Linked DNA regions of Callithrix jacchus. The main gene of each other region encodes a partner of the protein of the gene in region 2 in a complex. Links are inferred from orthologs where the notes say so. Each region holds a gene or a part of one and is shown on either strand. Other genes may lie near its edges.

Region 1 (3,813 bases), on a different chromosome or scaffold from region 2:
TGACCACTGTACAACCTTCCTGGGGTGGAAGAGCAATGCAGCCATTAGGTAGGATTCACATCCACCACTGGCTGCACATGGGCACCAACTAATAAGCTTGAGGGTCCCACAAGCTTAGGGTAGAAACTAGGTAGGAGGAAAAGGCAGGGATTTAAGGTAGAAGCAGGAAAACCAAAGAAAAAAGGCAGAAACTTAAGACAGGTGGGAACTTCAAGAAAATATCCAGCATCATAAAAACCTGATGCAGAACTCTCAGGGTTGCTGGCTCACTCTCAGCATCCTAGAGTGCCTTATCTTTCAGAATGTACCGTCTCTCTCCACATAAACTCTCTGCTCTCTACTTCCCTTCAGTAAAGCTCTCTGCTATCCCTGAATTGCCTCTTGGCCAAAGTCTTTCTTCCAAGATGACAAAGAGCTGAGAATGTCCTGTTCCCGGTAACACCACCAGAGCCGTTTTCAAGCTCCACTTCACTGTGAAAAGAAACTGGTTTGATGATTCTAACCCCATGTCCACAAAACGATCGAACTGGATTTCATCAAGCACTGGTCAGGCACTCCTGCCTCTGTCTTGCCACACACGCCCAATGTTGCTGAGGACTTATTCTGCACAGCGCCAATCTCACTCTCTGGTTTCAACATGCAATCACAGAGGCCACCCAAAAAGACCAGGAGCACAAACACATCTTCCTCACCCAGCCCTCCGGGGCCCGCCAGTAGGAACTCCTGTCTCCCTATCCTCTTGACAATTGGCGGCCTCTCCTCGCTGCAGTAGGGAAACAGGTCCTGGGAGACACCTGTGCTGTAGTTGTGGATGATGTACTGAGTGGTCAGAGCCAGACACAGGAAGTGGCCGTCCACAGCTACAGCGAGGGGCTGCTCAGAGGTTGACACCTCCTTGACGATCTGCACCCGGTCCTCGTACACCAGAAACATCTGGATGGTTCTGCGTTTGACAGAGATGATACAAACTTCCACACAGAATGGGTCCCCAGTCACAGGGTTCTCATTCAGTGCAAACGTGACCGCCCCCTTGATGCGGGCTCCCGAGGGCACTGGCTCGAGGTTCAGCATGTGGACCAGGCTGATGGAGTTGTCACACAGCACCAGCAGCCTGTTGAGTGCTGAGGCTGCGCGCAGCTCACTCACAGGCTTCTTGAAGCCCAGGTGCCTGTGCAGCTGTTTCGTGGCAGTGAACGTGGCCGGCCCGGCAGGCACTGGCCTCTCCTCCAACAGGAAGTGGTAGACAAAGCAGTCGTTGGTGCCCACGTAGAGGTCCCTGCCGCAGCACTCTACACACTCAATGTTGACACGCTCCTTGTCGCCCACCAGCAGCTCCCACTCCACGGCAGAGACAAGCGTAAAGGCTTTGATGTTCATCATGTCTACTGGCTGATCTGCTGGAAGAGAAAGAGAAAAACTACTTTTAGAGGAACAAAGAAAAAGCAGAAACAGAGGTTGAAATAATGATATGTGGATTCCCCAGTTATAATTTTCATTAAAGAAAATCATTCCACGCTATCAAAAAATAGAAAGAAACTTTTTCCCCACGGATCTCCCCCATCAGACAGCAAGAGACCCCAGCAAAAAAGCATACACGCACACACCCATACACACACATGCATGTGCTTGTGATCATGTGCCATCCTGCTCAGTCCCCACACGGAGTCGCCTGGAGCCTCCTCACATTGCTCCTGGGAGACACACTTGCAGGCAGAAGACAAATGCATGCATTCACCCACAGACAACGTAACAAAAGGATTTCTGTGCGGCAAGAGGATGGCTTGACCCCAGGGGTTGCAGGCCAGCCTGGGCAATATAATGAGACCCCATTTGAAAAAAAAAAAGGGATTTCTGAAAAAGGCAGAAATGATCCTCACTGATCTTCCCTGAGTTTCTACAGCTGCTTGAATATGCGCTTTAGTCAATGAACACAACCAGAGTCGCAGGATCCTGCCAGGGACACCAAGGCAGGAGCCAGCCTTTGGTTACCTTTGTGTTCTTTCCAAAAAGGCAGACACATCAGCCCCCGCTCCGGAGTAAACGTTCATGTGGAGAGTAAAGGTGTGCCTCAGATCTCAAAAGGCTTTCAGGTGGTAAGTGGAGCTATTTAGTGGATGTGTGGACTGGTCCCTGGCTCCCACTGGAAGCAAGACTTTCCATTTCCACATTAGCCTGTGGCCTCCTACTTCATCTCTGCGAGAACTGTGCTTTCACACTCCACAAAGTCAGAGGGAGAAGACCAGGTAAGGTGGCCTTTCCTGACTTCTCAGGCGACCAGAAGCAAACTCAAAGGCACCATCCCTATGATCGGGAGCAGGGCAGGGGATCAGAGAGCTGGAAAGAGGACTGCAGAGAATGACGGGCACTGCAGGGCAGCTGGCTGGGCTTGCGTCAGCACTGCTCCATGTTCAGAGAGTTTGAAGTGAAAGGTTCCCTACTACTATCACTTCCTCACTTCAAGCTCTCCGAACATGGAACAGTACTGCTTCAGGAGAGCTTAAGTTCCTAATACTTGGAGGCATTCCAGCATAGGGGGTAAGACCTCTCAGAAATATTCAAGAAAGGTTCACGCATCAGGGAAGGGAAGGAATCAGAGCACTTCTTTAGTGCCTTTCAACTTGAAAATTTTGGAACTCTACAATTTCTTGTCTGCCCCCATCCATGGGGGCAATGACAGCTATACATGAGTGAGACTCCAGCCCCTTCCCTAGGCCCCCTCCCTAGGAGGGAGGGCACCCAGGACTGAGGAGGAGGGTTGTCTGTGGACACATCAGTCCTTCCTGTTTTTTTCCCATCACTTGAGCAAATTACTTGATGTTATGGTCAGAATGTTTGTTTCCCCCCTAAAATTCATATGTTGAAACTTAATCCACAGAGGTGCTGGGAGGCGAGGCATCTGGGAGGTGATTAGGTCATGAGGGTGGAGCCCTTATGAATGGCATCAGTGCCCTTATCAAAGAGGCCCCAGAGAGCTTATCTGTCCCTTCCACTGTGTGAAAAGGCAGCTGGAAGGCACCACCCCTGAGGGATGGGCCCTCTCCAAACACTGAGCCTGCCATGCTTCAATCTTGGACTTCCCAGCTTCCAGAACCGCAAACAATACATTTCTATTGCCTATTAATTACCTAACATATGGGAGTTTGTTACAGCAGCCTGAAGGACACTTGGCTATTCCAGTCTCAATTGCCTCATCTGTGAAATGAGCATAATAACGGTACCTGCTTTCACAGGACCATTGCAGAATTAAGTAAATCAGTTCATATAAAATGCTGACAGCTGGCACCCAACACTCAAACTTTTGGATCTCATCATAAACACTATGATTCCCTCCCAGTGTGGATCAGCTCCCATTCCTCTCTCAAACTACCTGCCTGCTTCAGGTGTTTATTTCCCAAGTTGGGCACCAAGAGATTAAACAATGCTGTCTTCTGTCCTCAGATATGGGTAACCTGTTCACCTCTGCCAAAAGACAGTCTGCAATGTAAGCTAGAACACACACTCACATATCTGCCCTACCCCTAAAACATCTTCACACTCATTTATGGGCGCTCATCTTCACAGAAACTATGGGACAGAGCTGGGCGAAGTGCAGAGGGAGGTTCAAAAGGCACCACAGAGAAAGAATCATGTCCATGTACCTAGGGGCTCTGGGAACATCCCCAGAATCCCAGGTATGGCTAGGTGAAGAACTCCAGCAGGCTTCTATAAATAGTCTGTGGCACAAACAGTTCTTAAACAGCATCATGTATTTGTCTCAACCAAACATAACCACCAAAACCCACGTAGACAATATTTTTTTCTCCATTTAAATGC
Region 2 (3,813 bases):
TCCCAGCTGTGTACAATTAGCATAGTGCTTCAGCACGTCCTTCAGCACGGCTCCCATAGTACGTAATTTTACTGATTTTACTGTCTGTTTATTCACCTGACAAAATCTGGCTATCAATACAAAATGGGTTGACTCTCTCAGTGCCCACAATGATGGCAGGTATGCTTTTTAAAGAACCCTACTCCTGAAGGGAACCTCAAGAAAGTGGCACGAATAGAAAGTGGTCATCAAACAGTTGCCATCTCGCAATAATGAGTGGAGGGACAGATGGATTCTAGTGTCCAGAATGGCCAGCCCTGATGAGGTGGGGTTTTAGGGCACTCTTAAGAGTTAGGTATGTCAATGCTCAGGAGCCTGCAGCTTTTTTGTGTCAGGACCGCAGCAGCCAATGGAATGCAGGGTACAAGAAGTCCTAACTGTTGCTATGTAATAAGGAAAGATGAAGTCGTTTCTTTGATGTCACGGTAGGTGCAAGACAGCTCTAGGAATTGAGTTTGATATAAGCTCCTAATACATGTACCTCTAACAACCAACCACTCTATTATCTGGTCCCCATGACTTTACCTTCGTGTTAGAGTTTGGCACAAGTCACTGCCCCTTACGTGTAGTGAGGTCTAGCACAGAAGAGGTCCTTCTGGTTTACTCTTGTTTCCTATTTAAAGCAAAAAGAGTTCTAGTGGTTCAAACCTGCTGTCTTTCAGAATGTCGGGAATCATCGTCAGGACTACAAAGGAATTCAAGGACCTGGCCAAAGAAAGAGTAAAGCATGCAGACATCAGTACTCTCATAATAAAAATAATAACCACCCTTTCAAATAACCAACCCATTCACACTCAGCCAAAGACCACAGGTGCAGAGTACCTTCGCAGCTGATTAGCCTAGTACACATAACATCAGGCTCAGGTATGCCAACGATTTAATATGTGCCTTACATACTTATCTCTTTACTCTTTAGAAACATAACTGTAAGAGGCTGGGCGCACTGGTTCACACCTGCAATCCCAGCACTTCTGGAGGCCGAGGAGGGTGGATCACTTGAGGTCAGGAGTTCAAGACCAACCTGGCCAACATGGTGAAACCACGTCTCTACTAAAAATACAAGAAATTAGCCGGGTGTGGTGGCATGCACCTGTAATCCCAGCTACTCTGGAGGCTGAGGCAAAAGAACCACTTGAACCTGGGAGGCAGAGGTTGCAGTGAGCTGAGATTGCGCCACTGTACTAGAGCCTGGGTGACCAAAAAATAAAAGAGAGAGAGAGAGACAAAAGAAATATAGCTATAAGAAACACAGATATAAGGAAGTGTTGTCTATACAGACACACACACATGCATGCACGCACGCACACACGAACACACACACCCCTTAAGTTTCCTGATAAGATATCACGAACCTAGCAAAGCATGGACTTAGGAGTCAGGCCACCTGAATTTGGATACTAACCCTATTAAGACTTAGTATTTGCTGCTAATAACAACACTTACTAAGTATGACCTTAGATGAATGACTCAATCTCTCCAGGCCTTCCCTTCCTCATCTATAACAGGAGATAACTGCCCCTGTTTTCGAGCTGTTGAGAGGACTAAGGTAACACACACACATAAAGCTTTGGAACAACGTCTGCCATTCTGAAGTGCTCAGAAAATGCTAGTCATCTTTAGATACTTTCTCCAGACAAAAAGTGTCTTCTTTGCCACCTGTGGAAACATAGGAGCTATTTAAGTGGGCTTACAAGACGCCTGCAAAGTCATTTGTAGGTAAATTGAGATTTTATAAAATAATCTCTTCTCCAGATGATGGGCCTAATAGTCTCACTACCGGAGAGATGCGGGAGATTCTTAAATTGGAAAACTCTTGAGCAAAGAATTCCAGGCAATTCAGAACAACAGAATAATTTGAAGAACACAAGCTCTATAAACCAATCTCCACAAACACACCCATCCACCCATATACACACACACCCCTAATTTAGATCCAAAGCCTGAACAGGCCTCTCCTTGATAAGACATTTACCCAAGTCTGTCACATCAAGCAACAGTGTAATCCAGGGAACTGTGCACAATAAACAGAAAAAAAGCTTTTCGTTTTCACTGCTAGACACTTACCTGATCAAAAAGTGTTCTGTTTACAAACAAGGTGTTGTCAGGCTTTGCAAGCTGCCGAGCAAGGAAGGTAAAGAGACATCCTACTTGTGAGGGGGTGAAGTCTGAATTCTCCACCATAACCTGAGAAGCAAGGGAGACCATTTATTCAATACACCATCTGGTTTGATGCAAAAGCATACAATTAGAAGAGGGGACAGCCTCATTACTGAAGACTTGTAAAAAGATTCTTTTACTGACTGTGCAACAATTGAATTTAACACCATTTAGAAGAAGCACAACTATTCGCACACTGAAAATATTTCAGTGATTTTTGGCATATTTCTAGCACAATCTGGATGAGAACTGAATTGATAAGGAGGTAGAGATATAAACTGTAATATTTCAAAGAAATATCAATCATGTTTCCCCCAGGAATTCTTCAAGAATCATTCTACAATTATTATTATTTTTGAGACGGAGTCTCGCTCTGTTGCCCAAGCTGGAGTGCAATGGTGCAATTTTGGCTCACTGCAACCGCTGCCTCTTGAGTTCAAGTGATCCTCCCACGTCAGCTCCCCGAGTAGCTGGAAGTGCAGGCATGCGCCACCATGCCTGGCTAATTTTTGTATTTTTGGTAGAGACGGAGTTTCACCACATTGGCCAGGCTGGCATTGTACAATTAAATTTAAATAGTCCGATAAGTAGAAAGTAAATTCTTTTGCGGAACGATCCAAGATGGCCGATCGCTAACATCCCGAGATTGCAGCTCTCAGGGAAGACGCGGAGAACTAGAGGACGCCACACTTTCAGACAAAGTCTGGTTGCTCACGGAGCAGAAGATCCCCCAGTGGAGGAAACACACGGGTCGCCAGCGTGACTCTCGTGGCCGGCGCAGCGGTTCCGCCCGCACCTCGGTGTGGCAGCTCTCGGAGCAGAGTAAACACATTTGGAGGACCCGCACGGCCCCCAGCACAATACCAGAGCCCGGCGCAGCGGCTGTGACGGCACCTCGGTGCGGCAGCGCTCAGCGCAGAGTAAACGGGACGGGTTCCCCTTCTGACCAAGGTTTGGAGTCCTGGGAAGGCAGAGTCGCCTACTACAGAAACAAGAAGGAAGCCAGACAGGAGAATCCTGGGCAGAAAAGCACCATCAGTATTAACGCCGCTGCTCTGGCCCTGGGAACTAACAACCTGGACGTCCACTCAAGAGACCTAATCTGAAAGTTGGTAATTTCAAAGACGACAGGAGGATAAATTTACAACGATGGGAAGAAACCAGCGTAAAAAAGCTGAGAATACTCAAAGTCAGAATGCCTCTCCCTCTAAAGATGATCACAGTTCCACATCAACAATGGAACAAGGCTTGATGGAGAATGAGCGCCTCCTGATGACAGAATCACTCTTCAAGGAATGGATAATAACAAACTTCGGTGAGTTAAAAGAACATGTTGTAGCCCAACGTAAAGAAACTAGGAACTTTGAAAAAAGGTTTGATGAAATCCTATTGAGAATAGACAACTTAGAGAGGAGTATGAGTGAATTAATGGAACTGAAGAATACAATACAGGAACTCCGAGAAGTATGCACAGGTTTAAACACTCGAATTGTTCAAGCAGAAGAAGAGATATCAGAGGTCAAAGTCCAACTTAATGAAATAAAACGTGAAGAAAAGATTAGAGTAAAAAGGATAAAAAGGAATGAGCAAAGTCTCCAAGAAATGTGGGACTATGTG

What was found.
Region 1: VPS8 (region 2) and TGFBRAP1 share a complex: the UniProt entries of both Homo sapiens proteins name them as parts of the putative class C core vacuole/endosome tethering (CORVET) complex. The link is inferred for Callithrix jacchus from reciprocal best matches to the Homo sapiens genes VPS8 and TGFBRAP1.

What each region holds. Positions count from the first base shown.
Region 1 is NC_133515.1:15,384,048-15,387,860, forward strand, and holds part of TGFBRAP1 (transforming growth factor-beta receptor-associated protein 1), read right to left. Parts: intron 1,398-3,813; 5' UTR 1,381-1,397; coding exon 693-1,380; intron 1-692. UniProt on the Homo sapiens protein: Plays a role in the TGF-beta/activin signaling pathway. It associates with inactive heteromeric TGF-beta and activin receptor complexes, mainly through the type II receptor, and is released upon activation of signaling.
Region 2 is NC_133516.1:13,873,304-13,877,116, reverse strand, and holds part of VPS8 (vacuolar protein sorting-associated protein 8 homolog), read right to left. Parts: intron 2,224-3,813; coding exon 2,104-2,223; intron 745-2,103; coding exon 688-744; intron 1-687. UniProt on the Homo sapiens protein: Plays a role in vesicle-mediated protein trafficking of the endocytic membrane transport pathway.